2 linked regions of the Struthio camelus genome follow. The protein of the gene in region 1 purifies or fractionates together with the protein of each later gene. This does not show direct contact. Links are inferred from orthologs where the notes say so. Each region holds a gene or a part of one and is shown in the gene's direction. Other genes may lie near its edges.

Region 1 (7,858 bases):
GGAAGGGGGAGGGTAAACAGAATATATTTAAGTTGGTCAAGAAATTGCAAGAGCGGCGTGTCCGTGACTGAAGGGAAAGTGTTACGTCTGACTGAGTAAGCCAGATGGGAGTTTGATTGTTCTGCTCATTGTTGGGAATAATTCAGCATTAAGCTCTGTGAATAGCAAAAAGGGCAAAGAGCAAAGAAATGAGATTATCCTCCTTCCTCCACAGCAGAGGCATAGCTTGCTGAGGGCTCTGATTTGCTTTTTTATGCATCAGCCTTTGCTACTGAGCCCCGCACCTGGAGTCTCGTGAAGTTTGCTCAGATACCTACTGTCACAGCCACGTACAAAATCCCCGAGGCCTGTAACAGATGCATGGGCCTGTAATGGTGCATTTTCATTGGGGGGGGGGGGGGGGGGGAGGGAGGGAAGGGAGAAGAAAAGGCTGCAGGAAAGCTTTCTCAACTGTTACAGCCTTATCCGCAGACCTGGAGCTGAGCTACATGCCAAAAGCCTGCCCAAATGCCTTGGCTTCACCTGCACTTTATTTGCTTCTGTGATTAAGGCAGCTGAATTTTCCCAGCCAGAATCTGCTACTTGCACAGGAAGGGTCCTGGGGTGTTCAAAACCTGCTGCAATGGTCCTAGCAAAAGGGTCCTGGGCCGTTGCCGGAGGGCTGGTACACTCTCCGGCCAGCCACCCTCTGCAGCCTGGGCATTCCTGCAAGCTGGTCTGGGGCCGGCAGAGACTTGAAGTGAGCTGCGTTTGTGCAAGCCTCAGACCCCAGCCTGGGTGACTACCGAGCAGCAGATGATAAACTCCTGGTCTTCTAGAAACAGCAACGGCAAAGAGCCACAACAGGAACTGATTTACGTCTTCAAGGAAGAGGACTAGGTACTTTTGATCAGAGGAGAACTGAAGTTTTTCCCGCAAATTCCCATGCCTCCCCAACACAGTGAGGCCTCCAGCCGAGCTTTGTGTATGACCTCATCACATACGTCCCGCGTCTACAGCACATACCACATACTGAACATTTGCATATGTTACGCGTCTTTTGTTCCACATGGGTGGCCTCCCCTTCCCCTTCCCCCTACCTCTCGCCCCATCACTCACCCACGCTGCTCCACTTGCGTTATTTCAGACGTGTCATTGCTGCAGAAATACATACCGCTACCCTGGCCTTGCTGAGAGTGGCGGCTCTGCTCATTGTCAAACGTCGAGTGGGTAATGATCAATGGATGACTAATTGGAAGCGAGGGGGAATAAAATAGGTATTACTCTCTAGCTTCTGCTCTTAATTAAGAGGATACATAAGGCTGTGGGGAAAATTTTAACAAATGGCAAGAGGGTTTTTGTCATTTTGCAAGGCTTAATTAGAAGCATTGCGTAAGCGAACGTATAGGTACCACTTTCGTTCCGTTTAGGTGTCTCTCGGGGCGTAACTAACAAATGCCAAAGCAAAGGCCTAAAAAAAATTAGTGGAGAAGATGTCTGTAGGCACGTGCCTGGCAATTTAAACAGCAGGAGAGGGAAGAAAGGGCCCGTTTCCCTCGCGGTGCAGAGCCAGGGAGGAGCTAGCGGAGTGCAGGCAACTGGAGAAAGCGGTGGTCACAAACGTTACACTAAGCAATGAAATGGTCGTCGTAATGTTTCTTCATAAATTCGCTCCACTAATTTTTAAAAGTCAAGCAATATTACAGTGCTTTTTTTCGAGCAGTTAATCATTTGGAAGCAAAACATTTATGATTGAGAGAGTTTTCGGAATAAATAGATGCAGTAGAAAATATAAGAAGTGGCACTCAACACTGACGTTTTCTGCCTAACAGACAAGAAATTTTCCAACTCCTGAAGGACCAGCGACTGCTCACTACAAAAAGGCTTCACATTATCTGCCTTGCCAATGAAATAGTCACCCTGTGTTTGAATGTTAATCTGTACTTTCCATGATGGGCCCCCAATATGACACATCACAGTCTGCTTTAAAATAGTGTACAGATGAGATACTAACTTTAAAGAGTTCAGAGCTTGATCCAGCTTCCAGTGAAGTGAGCGGGAAGATTCCAGAAACAGAAAAGAGGCCTTCAGAAAGCAATTACTGTAGCCTTGATTTTGGGGAAGGAGAGAGACAGGCTTTCAGTATTTGCAGTGCTGAAATAAACTGAGATACCTATTCTCTAAGTTTCCTAATCCAAAACTGGCAGCAGGTCTACAACTTTGGGGGGGGGGGGGGGCTTAGGTTCAGGCTGGACTTTGTCTTTGCTTTTAAACCCTACTCTGCCAACAGTGCTGTTAACAGTGTGCAGAGAGCGCCTTTCAGGTTTTTTTCCCTGTCTCTCAGGCTCATGAAGTACGTGAAGCTCAAGTGAGATGAAATACTCCCAGTACCTGCTGCTTTCTGGGGTTTGGCAAGCTAAAGAGGGGACAGAGACTGGTCCTTCAGTCGCGGCCACAGATATCCTTAGGCCTGCAGGCGTGACTGATGGACCTGGGAGCGCTGACATGAAGGCCAGATTTCACACAGTGCTCCCAGGGCATCATGTCCTTGAGGAGGCAGGCTGCTCCGCGCTCCTTCCTTTGCGCCGCAAACACCACTTCAAATAAAGATATGTACACGCGGTCAGAACAGAAATAACCCCAGGAGACTGAACACTGAATGAGGCTACCTAACTGCCAGGGGCATTTCTATGCAGCCAGTTGAAGCCAACAGCCTGTGGCTTTGCCATTTCTCCATCCAGCCGTGTCCCATAGAGCCTCAAACGCACGCCGGCCACCACGAGCCGCACTGGATCGAGACCCTGGCGAGGACCCTTGGCTGGTGATTACAGCCACAGCCTCTTTCCTCCGACAGGCTTGCAGCTATCTTGGATGGAGGGGGGAGGCCGGCAGCTGCTGTCATTTACTGGTGGGTCTAGCCTCATGTCCGGTGTATAAACGGTGGAGAAGGACAGAAGACTTTTCATAGCCCTCGTGAGAAAGGGAGCCCGCCCCGCTGGGCGAAGCTGAGAAGCGCTAAGTGCCACCCACCCGCGAGGCTCTGGCCGCCGTTCCCCCGGGGCGACTCTTCCCGCAGTTCCCTGCAGCCGGGAGCAGGAGCTGATCAAGGCACTATAGGAACCGTGTAAGCGTTTTATTTGAACTCCAGGAACATCAGGTACTAATCAGAACAGCTTTCCCTCCCCTCTCCCACCCTGCCTGCACGTATCAGCTGCAACACCAAAGATAATGACACCCTCGTTGCGGAAATAAATCTGCCCAGCTCTGCCGGCTGCTACAGCCAGGCGCTAACTGCAAGGCGTCCACCAGCCAAGGCACGTGCTCGAGGCCCTGATTTTGACTCCTGTGTGGCTTTGGACCCCCTTGCAGCCTTTTGCCACCACGGGCTGCAGCCAGGGCCGTCAGCTGCCGCACGCTGCTCCTGGGCAGGCCGCCAGCATCCCACCGGTGCGGAGGTCAGCGAGCAGGCGAAATAGCTGGAGTGCTTTTAGCTCAGGCAAAAAGCCTCCCATCTGGAGCAGTTCGGTCATCGTCCCGGGTGAGGAGCGCTGCTGGGCTAACGAAGCTCAGCCTGGTGACGAGCCAGCTACCCGCCCATCTCCTCCTCCCATAATAACCGGTAAACACTTTCCACCTGCCTGAGTGGGGCTCCATCCCCTCCCGAGGAGGCTGTAATTGAGCCCCTGGGAAAGGCCCTGGCGTGTGGCAGGCGCAAGTCTGAATCTCGGTGTTTCCTTAGGAGAGGAAGGCGGGATTTATGGTTAAAGAGGATTTGGGAGTTTAGTGATCTAGTCCTAACTCAGTCGCAGATGTTTGCTGGGATGTAGGGCTGGGCTCCTTGGGCAGGTGCTCCAAACCCCGACTTGGGTGATGCTCCCTTCCCCAATCCCTGGTTTTGCCCCAGAAGCTGCTACTCAGAGACTTTCTAACTCAGCATGTGCCAAAGCCCAGCGGTGCCTCCACCCCGTGGCTTGCAGCTCTGGTCCCCTCTCCTGGGCTAGTTAATTTTTTAATACCTTGTGATGCTTTAGGGTGTGATGCATAAGCAGTCATGTAGATAGGAACTGATATATATTGGCAAGGAAAGAAGGCATGTCTTTGGCTGTAAGAAAGGCTGGTGTTTTCACAGGCTTGTCCGTTTTTTCCAAATATCACATTAATTAAATGAAAACTACGGTCTCTTCCTTTTGAGGGGCACCAGCTTCTCGTTTGTAAGAGCATAAAAATCTGCTTGGCTGCATGATGAGGATGCTTTAAGCTACTGCCACTCTTTCCGCACCTCTGAGTAGGAACTGAAGCATCTGGTTGTTCGATAATAACAGGGACTGATGCTGCAGCCTGTGCAAGAATAAAATACTACTGGGGTGGGGGGGGATGTAGACAGCAAGTCACAGGTAAACTGAAATGCAAACTTTTTTACCTGATGTATTTTTTTCATAGATCAATCATTCCTCTATTGGGTCCGATCCTGCAAGAGCAGCCGGCAGGACTATTACGTTCTCACTGCAGCATCCTGCCTTCAGAAGCAGCTCTGCCATATTGTGATATTAGGCCCCAAGCTACAACTGCATTCATAAAAGCAATAGTAATGTTTCCAACGATCCTTTAAAAAAGAAAGAAAAGGAAAGCTGGAGAAGGAGTAGAGAGGCTTTGTAACTGCTCCTCGCACTTCTTTAAAATCTCTAATCTGTTTTTTTTTTGTTTTTTTTTTTAAAGATACATTGCACTTTGTTTCTCTGTGTGCGTGCTTATACCTTTTCTTCTGCCAACCCGTGTGCATTTCCATAGTAACAGAAGGGAAACCATGAAGGGGCCACAAGAAGCTGCGAATCGTTTTCATCTGCTGGCTGCCATTTCCCCTCGCGCAGGGTCAGAGAGGCTGCGGGCGGCCAGCAGGCAGCTGTCAGCTCCTCGCGAGACGTCTTCCCCTGGACGTTTCGGGCTGCTGGCTGTCATCCGAGAGCTCCCGGCGCCGGCCCGTGCGCGCGCGGCTCCCGACCCGCGCGACCCTTTCGCTGCCGCAATGCCGCAGCGGCTGAGGAGCCCTGGCTGCTTGATGCTTTCGGAGCCAAGTCTGTCAGGGGCTTGTAAGTAACGTTACGCGGTGTCTGCCCAAGTTCGCTACGAGAGGAGCGAGCCTGGGGGCTGGGTTTGGGAGGGTCGGCGGTCGGGCTGCCAAAGAAGTACCCTGCGTGCGCGTAACTGGGAAACGTTTCGCCCTTGAGAAGGAGAGGCGCTTAACGCGCGCTGCGGGGACGACGGCTACGCGTCCCCTTCTGCCTGCGCAGGCCGTCGCGCCAGCTAAACGGCGATGCGGATGCCCATTACGCTTGGCTCTGCTGATGCGCTCGCTCGTCTCCTCCTCGCCTCTGCCGCCTGCAAGGAAAGGGAAGCGTCCCGCTCGTCAGCGCGCCCGCTTTCCCTCCCTCCGCCCTCGCGCCCTGGCCAAGCCGGAGGAGACCAGGGAGGGCTCCTACCTCCTGTTTTTTCCCCTCCCTTGACAGGAACAGAAACCAGCCTCTCTCAGTTTTTGCAGCAAATTCCTGTCTTTTTTATAAGTGAGTGAATACGGCATCGGGCCGAGCTTGCCTGAGTGAGTCACCGCCAGGATGCAGCCGGCCGGGAAGCGGAGAGCCCCCAGCCCAGGGCCGCGTCACTTGCGCCGGGCGCCCTGCGCGCCCCGGCCGGGCAGCTGCGGCCGGCGTCTGCCTTGCTGTAGCTCTGCGTTCACCAGGCGTGCACCTTGTAACACCAGTTTTGGAAGGGGCTGGGAGCAGAGCCCCCTTTCCCCTGACAAAAGCGGCCTGGCTAAAAACGCCGCCGTTGGCCCTGCAGCAGAAACGCTGGGTTTGGGTTGCAACCAGAGGGTTTAAAAGGCGAGCTGATGTGAAAAGGGCCGCGGGAGCAGGGCCGCTCCTGGCCCCCGGGGCCGGCTGCGGCCCCCTGGCAGAGCTGGGCAGCTGCCTCGGGCAGCGGAAAGCCTGGGCCGTTTGTGGGCAGCCAAGGGGACACGTTTTTTTCCCCGCTGCCACGGGCATTAAAAGCTAGAGAGCTAATGCTCTTCTGAGGGAAGAAACTACTAGCAGAGAGTTATTTGGGATTCAGCCTTGTGAGCACAAGCAGCGCCCCGGCCGGTTGGGGGGGAGGCGAGTAGGGAAGAGGGCCCCGGGCCGCCCCGGCGCTCAGTTGGCAACCGGCGAGCCGAAATTTCACGGGGAGCAGGGAGAGAGCAAAGGGCCCGGCGGGTGCCGCTTCGTCCCCCCGCGGGAGGACACCGGGGGACGCGGCGGGTGGCGGCGGCGGCTCTCTCCTCTGCTGCTGCTGCCCAGGAATGAGAGAGGAAGGCAACGCTGAAGCGACTGACTTCAGGGGGCGATTTAAGCAGCTCCGCGCGCGCAGGCTGGCTGGTCAAGCGTTAAGGGCGTGCGCGACGGCAGCCTATAAATGTCTGCGGGGCGAGGCGGACAGGGATCGCCCAGAGCGGCGCACAAGCCCGCAGCCAGGACCTGTGAGGCAGGCTCCTGCGAGGGTTAAAATTAAGCCAACGCAGGCTCGGGATCAGGAAGAGCTCCTGGACAGCGAGACGTAGGGCGCAGGGAAGTCGTGAAAGCTTTGCAGCCCCGGGACGCGCAACGCCAGCCAGCGCGGGGACGTGGTCGTGGCGAGCAGCCTGGCGCTGCCTGAGCACGCAGCGTGATTTATCGGGTGGCTTAAAAACCCATCGCGCCGTGCTGTTCCCGCTGGGGTTACGCGAAGGTGTAGGGATTGCAGCTTGTGTAAAAGTGAGCTTGTGCTCCTCAGGAGCTCAGCGAAAAGCCTGGAAGCATTTAAAAGTCTGACTGTAAAAAAAAAAAAAAAGACAAGAAATTGTTTTCATACTTTGTATAACTTTCACACTCATCACGCGATTTTTTTTTTTCCTTCCCCTCCTTGGTAGTCTGAATCACACTCGGGGAATTGACGATAAGTAACCGAGTTTTTTTTTGTTTTTTTTTTTTTTTAAAAAAAAGGAGGAGGATGAGTTTTCCTGGGACACTGCACATCATTGTTCAGGAATCGCGCTGGGTTTCCCCTGCAGCCCTTTGCCCATAGGGTTCAAACAGAAGCAGCCCGGCCGCCTCTCGGAGGGGACGGGGCGGCGGGGAAGGGAGACGCGCAGCCTTCGCGCTCCCACGGGCCGCCGGCGCTCCGGGGCGGCTCTGCTCCGCTGCGTGGCTCGCCGCCGGCCGCAGACGCAGCCTTCCCGCTCCTCATCATCCCTTTGCGCCTTCCTCTTCCTGCTGCCGAGCCTGTCCTGCAGCTCACCTGGGCGAGGCGGAGGGAGGGTGTCGTAAAAGGAGGAAAGAGAGAGGGGGAAGAAAAAAAAAAAAAAAATATATATATATATATATATATGCACACACACAAACACACACACATATAAATATATATATATATATTTATATCTCCTGGCCAAGGAGAGCGGCCCGGACGCGCGCAGAGCGAAGGAGTTGGGTCGGAGACACCCCAGCCCCTTTCAGCTCCCTGGGGCGGCTTGGCCTGAGCCTCTTTCACCTTCAAGGTAGGAAGCGTGAAGGGCGCTGCTGTTTTCGGTCCCTGTTTGCGGTTGGCTGGTGACCCACTTTCGTTTCTTGGTTTGCGTGTCTGGGGCGGGTGGCGGGGGGGTTGTTCCCTCAAATTTCTCTCTCTCTCTCTCTCTCTCTCTCTCTCTCTCCGGTTTTGTTCCCCTCCCCCCCCCTTCCCCCCCCCCCCCTCGGTAATGATAGCCTGAGTTTCACAGATGGTTACAACATGTTTCAGCCATTTCACTGCATGCCTGGTTTGGGGTTTTGGGGGTTTTTTGTTGTTGGTTTTTTTGTTTTTTTTTTTAATTTAATCA
Region 2 (6,976 bases), on another chromosome or scaffold:
TCAAACCTGGAAATTGGAAGGTTGGGGTCGGGTCTATTTAACAACATTAAAAGATGCTAAGTTGAGAACTTTAATCTCTAGAGAAAAGTTTAATCTGCTATGCCTTTTTCCGGTAGTGTGCATAGCTCTTGGTGAAGGGCTCAGGTGATCTCTGGAGATGCTGAGAGCACTGGAATTCATGTTTTGGGGGGGGGGGGGGGTGCCTTTTGGGGGGGAGTTGTTTTTTGTTTTTCTTCACAGACAGTATTACTTCACATGTATATGTGCTATCCTCATCACAGTAAAGACTGCATCAACAGTTTCATCTCTCTGTGACAGACCAATGTTGAGGTTGCTTCCCTTTGCATGGTTGTCCATACTAATAATTAGGATTAGATTGATATTTTAAAAACAAGTAATTGTCACCTATGGTAGACAGCTAAATACCTTTAAAAATCAGTTTTAAGTGTCCAAATGCAGACAGTCCTAAATCCAACTTGTTACTTGTCTTACGTAGAAGACCTATAAACTGTTCCAGCTTTATTTTTATTATTAAGTGGTAGAGAGTACATTCAGAGGTGCCCAGACTGGATGTAAATCTAATTGTGCTTCTTCGAATATCCCATTATAAACGTGTACGTCAGCATATCAAACCAAGCATAACACGGTCCTGCTCCAAAGAGCTGCCTGTCGCCCTCCGCTCTCTCTAGAGAGGAAGGTGCATGCTCACTGCTGAAGCAACTGTGTGTCAGAGACTGCACCCTCCTGAAGAAGGGTGCTGCTCTTAGCCATATCTTTCTGCATTAGCTTTGTATCTTAAATGATATTTATGAAACCGTTCGGTGTAGAAATCTGTGTCCCAGGATAATGATATGTGATGGATGAGTGAGACATTGAAACTAGGGTAGCAGGAGATAGGTATCTGCATGAGTGGCAGATAGGTATCTGACAAGACGGACTCTAGAGTGTTAGGTTCTCTCATGCGTATAGCTCTCAGTGAATTGCAATACTGCTTATTGCTAAATGCGTTAAACAATAGTATTATGGGGTTGGATGTTTTCTTTGGAGCTGGGCTTTTCGGGGTTGTTGGAGTGTGTGTGTGTGTGTGTGTTTGCAGCATGCAGAGTTTGGGCACAAGGCAGTAAAGAGAGCAGCGCTCCAGGCAGCTTAAGTTCAAGAGCCCCCTCTGTTGCACGTTTGCTGGAACCTCTCTACCAATGTAGATATAAAATGAAGCCATTTTCTGGTTTCATGGGGGAAAGTTCACTGTCTGCTAAGGTGAAAGAAGTATGTTGTGGTATGAATAAAGTATTTGCACAGATCACTGCTTTATAGTCACTGTACCTCTGCCTTATACAAAATCCTCTTAGGGATTATTCTCAGCGTTACTTGAAGTACGTGCAAAAAGCTACTCAGATTCTGCCGTTGTTCTGCTTGTGACTAGGTCTGAATGTTTTGATGCACAGAAGTAATTTGATGAAGTGTTCTAGCAGTAAGGAGGATAGACTTTTTTGAAAATGGATGCTACTGGCAGGGACGCCAGTTGCCTGCATTCTCTAGAGATGGACTTTTGGTAACAAAACCTCAATAACCATGTCAGAAGTCTGTGCGTCCCCCTTCTGGCAATCCTTTGCTGCCATAGCTGTGGAGGATTTCTGGCACTCTCTTTGGGCAGCAGCTTTCCTGAGCAATCAGGATACGGAATGTGCTTTTGTCCTGGAAGGTATGTGTTGAGCAGCTGATCTTGACTGTCTTCTTTCAGTGCAGTGACTGCCAAACCTCCGTCTCCTCTCGTAGGATGTATTGATGCATTTCTGTCCTGATAAGTAAGTTCAGTCTAATGCCAGAAGCCAAGTTTATTGTGGTCACTTCACTCTGCACCTTCTCTGAGCTCTGTTATTTGAATAACAGTACTGTTTCACCCTGTGCTGTCTTCTCCACCTAGGCTGGCCTCACTCTGATTAGTTACTAAGTCTTAGTTTTATAAATAAGTTTATAAATAAGCTTTATAAATATGTTGCTGAAAATGATTATCAGCAACAGCTCCTTATTCTCACATGGGTACTTGGTACTAGGTGAAGAGACTCTGTGCTTAACCAAGGACTTCCTGTCAGGCCACTAACTGACACAGGAAGAGCATTGTTTTTTTTTTTCCTGAAGAGTTATGAGGCTGTAACAGGCTTTCTCTATGCCTTTCCTGAGTGGCAATCATCTAGTTTGAACAGGAATTAGATGGGCAACTGGGAGACTGGTCATAGCTGTTCTGTAAAGACTTAATAGTCCAGGCATCAGTATCCTGATCTGACAGCTCTGCTTCTGAATGTGTGAGCAAAATTCTGCTGTAGAAGCCTGGGTTAAGAGGAGGGTTGTAACCAGATCCGTAACTATTAAGGACACAGTGTGTCGTTGTCTTCCCATCCCATGTACGCTGTGCTCTGATTCAGATCTACCTGTTTATCAGCAATTAGTAGCTTTTGTACCCAAGAAGAGCCTGAAAAATTGTTTAGAAAATGGGCTGCAGGCCATGTGCATAGTGGAGGCAAGATTCTTTGGAATCCTTAGTACAAAATGACCACACCTGAAAGAACAGTTGAAAAATTTGTCGAGTTTATGCCATTTAGCATAATGGCAAAGACTAGGGATTTGCTTGCATTGCAGTCTAAAAGTGGTATTGCAGCTCTTCACAAAACTAGTTCATAAGCATAAATAGTTTAGGTGTACTGATAGTGCCTCATGACGTGTTGGATTGCGAATCCCCTCTAGATCCTTAGCTAAGTATTCTGGCAGCCTAGCAGGACTCTGAATATTCTTTGCTTTCATCCAGTTTCATCCAGCTAAATACTCATAGCTCAGACCTGTCATCTTCAGCTGGCGTTACACCCTCAGAATGTAATCCAGAGATGGTTGATCAAGCAGTTTGTATTCTTCAGAATGCCTAAGCTCATCCAAACGTTTATAGTGAAGAAAGCTCTTTGTGTAACTGAGAAACAACGAACTGTTAATCCTTTTTCAAAGGAACAGCAATACAGAATAGGGCAGACTTTGGCATCGGATGCTCCCATACCGTTCCATCTTTGGTCTGCCTTCACTTTTACTTTCCCCCCTCCCTCTCAAAGAGGCTTAGCGCGCAGGAGCAGTTGTTCCTCCTGGGCAGCAGTTGCATTCCTTTTCCGTCAGACTGGCAGTTCCTTCCCCAACAGGCTCGCTCTTACTGTGCCCAGAACTCAGAGTAGTTAGCTCCTTCGAGGTAAGCACAGACCACTTAATCTTTTCTGGCTACAGTACAGGTGTCTCTTTGGAATTGCAGTTAGCTAAGAGAGGCCTCCAAGACTGGAAGCAATGGAGGAAGAAGTGCCGTGTGATGTGTTTGTTTAGCAGAAGCTGGCAACAGAACAGAGGTTATTGACAAGAGATAGGATAAACTTTTGTACAAACACATTGAGTGGATTCAGCTGTCTAGCTGTGCCATGCTTGTGGTCTGCTGTTGGCCTACATTCCCTCCCCCAATGGCACAGCTGTGCTTGGTGGCCCTGGCAGCCTGCAGTGGATGTGACTGCCTGTGCTGCATGTCGAGCTGCATGCTTCCCTCCCTGTGCCACCATGCATGAGTTTGCAGTGGCATTAAAGCACCTAACTTCACCCAACCCATAGCAAGTCGTCAGGAGAAAGCAATACCTAAAAATGATGTAATGCGCAGAATGGTACTTTGATTTGGGGTGGTGGGGGCTGAGATAAAATGTACATTTCAGTACCTTTAGCAGATTTTAATGAAGTTGTGGGAAGGAGACAGCTGCTCTGTCACTTTAGGTAATTAAATAGCCCATGAGCTCTACTCCCCCTTTCCCCGAGTCCTCGACTTCAGACAGACGAGCAGACGCCACCGACCTCCGGGGGAACGAGGGGGCTCGCGGCGCCCCCCGGCGGCTCGCGGCGCCCCGCGCGGCTGCAGCGCGCCCGGCCCGCGGCCCCTTTCGGGGCGGGCGGCCGCACCACGTGCCCCTGGCGCCGGAAGCGGACGCAGCCGCGGCCCAGGCCCTGCGGAGCCGGAGCCGGAGCGCCGCGGCCCCGCCATGAGCCGGCCGCCGGCCCTGCAGGCGCAGACCTGCGGCCCCTGGGAGATGAAGGAGCGCCTCGGCACCGGCGGCTTCGGCAACGTCATCCGCTGGCACAACAAGGTAGGCGGCGGCGGCGGCGGCGGGCCCCCTCGCCCGGCCCGGCCCGGCCCGGCCCGGCCCGGCCCGGCCGCGCTCAGCCGAGCCCGCGCTGTGTCCGCAGGAGACCGGCGAGCAGCTGGCCATCAAGCAGTGCCGGCAGGAGCTGAGCCCGCGCAACCGCGACCGCTGGGCGCTGGAGATACAGATCATGAAGAGGTGAGGGCGAGGCCGGCCGCTCCGCCGCCGAGCCGGGGCGCGGCCTGCGCGCGGCCTGCCGCTCCCGGCGGCGCTGAGGTGAACGGCGGGAGAGGCAGGCGGTACCCGCTGCCCGGCCCCGGAGCGAGCCTACCCCTCCACGGAGGCCAGCGCCTAGGAGCCGGGGGCGCGCCCAAGAAAACCTTGCGTTGTGTTTTCTCTCAGCTTCTGCGTCTCGAGGTTTAAAGGCTTCGTTCTCCAGAGGTTGTGCTGCTGTCTCTAGTGTTATAACAGTTCTGCAGCGTGGCTGCTCTTTGGCCTGACTTAATGTTTCTGTTGGGTTCTCTTTCAAGACGCTGGATTACTTGTGTGGGATGCAGTAGCCTGAAAGTAGGTAGGATCTTTTTTGAAGGATGCTAACAGGCTGCGTTAGACTCCTCCCTCGGAGCTACAGGAAAAGGCCTTGCCGAGATCCGTTGTGCCTGTTCACTGGAGGAATGCACTGACCACGCACTGAGGCTATGCGCGCTCGCTGTGCCCTGAATGCAAAGAGTTGAGATGAGTCTCTAGGTCTGTGAAGGATGAGTGAACTGCAGGCCTCGAGAATGCACTGGTTCGGTTTCTAAAAGGATTAACGTCCCTGTAGGGCTTAGAGTGACACGTGCACATGAAGCTGTGGAGCTCTTGTAGAATGATCAGCTTTCAGGTTTCTGCCGTGGCTGAGGTGATATGTATATGTGCCTCGTTTCCACTCCCTAGGCTGAACCATCCCAATGTAGTGGCTGCCCGTGATGTCCCTGAAGGGATGCAGAAGCTTGCACCAAATGACTTGCCACTGTTGGCCATGGAGTATTGCCAAGGTGGAGACCTCCGCAAGGTGAGGTCACTGGGATGGAGATGGTGACTAAGGGGCCTCAGCAGGATGAGACCTGGGGTTTGTCTTCAGAAAAGTTTAGTTCAGAGTATAAAAGCTCTGTTTTTGTCCCCTGCTGCTTCCAAATTCATGTCACGGTAGCTACAACGTTTGGTGGGTTGGTTCTCGGAAAAGTTCCGTTTCTAAAAACTTAAATATTTTCTGAAACTTTCTATGTTTGTCTGGCCACAAGTGATAGGTTGTGGAATTTGCATGTAGAGGATGAGGGTGTGTGAGAGGGATGTACGACAGGCTGTGAGCATGGCCAAGAGCATCATAGGGCAGATCTGTGGGCGTTATCCTTCCCGGAACTGATAAACCTCTATCTGTCATAGGAAAAAATAATTTGTGGCCATTCTGATCTTGGTGTTTTTTTAACCTTTGCTATAACTTGCCCGTAGATAAAGCCCAGAGTGTACAGCTGAGATTAGAGCTGATAATGCAAGGCACAGGGGAAATGGCTATGAAGGGTGGAGATGGTAGAAGGAAGAGGATGGAGGTGATACTGATTTATTCTAGCCACCCTTTCTCCTCTCCAGGATAGACCAAGGTCTTAAGCTCTAACTATTGCTACCAGAGGTCCCAGTCCCATTTCCTTGCTGTCACTGGAGCTTCTTACATTCTTGAGAGCTTATGGGATGTAGACCCTCGCTTAGGACACAAGAGGGAAAGATTACCTATGTTCTGTGCTGCTCTCTTGCAGTACCTGAATCAGCTGGAAAATTGCTGTGGCTTGCGGGAAGAAGCTATTCTCATCTTGTTGTCTGATATTGGTAAGTGTTATTAGTATCTTCAGTTGTCCCAACTGTGGAAGCCCTTTACTGCTGAATCCACTTGAAGGCTATGTGACAGTGACCTTAATGGCTCCATCTTAGGCCCTTGAGTGGTATACTTGCTTCCGGTCTTGTTCTGCCTGTCCTCTCCAAGAAAGCTAACCTCTGATTTTTCCGTTCTTGAAATTCCAGTGTTGAGATGGATTTTCTTTCCCAGCAAAAATGCTACTCAGGATTTCCTGGAAGGTTCTGGATAGCTGAACACTTGCCAAGTGACTCCAGTTTATATTGCACATCATCTCTCCACCCTCAGTTTATTAGCTCATCAACAGGACTGCAGAGTGTGTGTGATCAGTTGTTTTCCATTAGCATTTGGGCCACCAATATGTGGAATTTGAGACAGTTCTGATGTTTGCAGTGTGATGCAAAGATTAGAGAAAGCTGTCTAGAGACTTTCAGGCTGGTGATTGTTGTTCTTTGTTGTTTTAGCAAGCTATGTTGTTGTCGGGGGCTATTGTTATGTGGGTCACAGCTGAGGTGAAGCAGGTGGACGGGTGCTAAGGCTTTAAAGAGAAGAGATTCAAAAAGTGGTTTTGGGGCATGTTGATCCTTAGAAAGCGAGCTTGTGGCAAGAGGAGGAACACGTGTTCATTAGTACTCCTACTGCTAGGCAGAATCTCCTGTCCTTTATGTTCCCAGAGCATTTGTACTCTGCTGTCTGCATTCTTTTACCCCCTTCCTGACCAGGAAAAGATACTTAGAACTGACCGGAGACAGTGGTAGGTTACGTTTAGAGCGCAGTTTGTGTTTATGTGCTTGTGTGTATATGGCAAGAGGGACGGTTCTGAATCTCCAGTTGTGCGATCCGAACCACAACCAAGCAGAACCATTTTCAACTATTGATATAACTTGTTCTTCGGATCACTTACAATCCCTGCTTAGCTGGTCTTCCTAGGGTTACT

What was found. The genes of interacting proteins can lie anywhere in the genome.
Region 2: the proteins of TRAF3IP2 (region 1) and IKBKB purify together in Homo sapiens (affinity purification with western blotting; 3 studies listed by BioGRID, with this or other methods). This does not show direct contact. The link is inferred for Struthio camelus from reciprocal best matches to the Homo sapiens genes TRAF3IP2 and IKBKB.

The regions. Positions count from the first base shown.
Region 1 is NC_090944.1:61,206,549-61,214,406, reverse strand, and holds the start of TRAF3IP2 (E3 ubiquitin ligase TRAF3IP2), read left to right. Parts: upstream 1-4,841; 5' UTR 4,842-5,066; intron 5,067-7,436; exon of another isoform or gene 7,437-7,540; intron 7,541-7,858. UniProt on the Homo sapiens protein: E3 ubiquitin ligase that catalyzes 'Lys-63'-linked polyubiquitination of target protein, enhancing protein-protein interaction and cell signaling. Transfers ubiquitin from E2 ubiquitin-conjugating enzyme UBE2V1-UBE2N to substrate protein.
Region 2 is NC_090968.1:7,907,806-7,914,781, forward strand, and holds the start of IKBKB (inhibitor of nuclear factor kappa-B kinase subunit beta), read left to right. Parts: upstream 1-3,964; 5' UTR 3,965-4,049; coding exon 4,050-4,154; intron 4,155-4,254; coding exon 4,255-4,349; intron 4,350-5,087; coding exon 5,088-5,205; intron 5,206-5,944; coding exon 5,945-6,014; intron 6,015-6,976.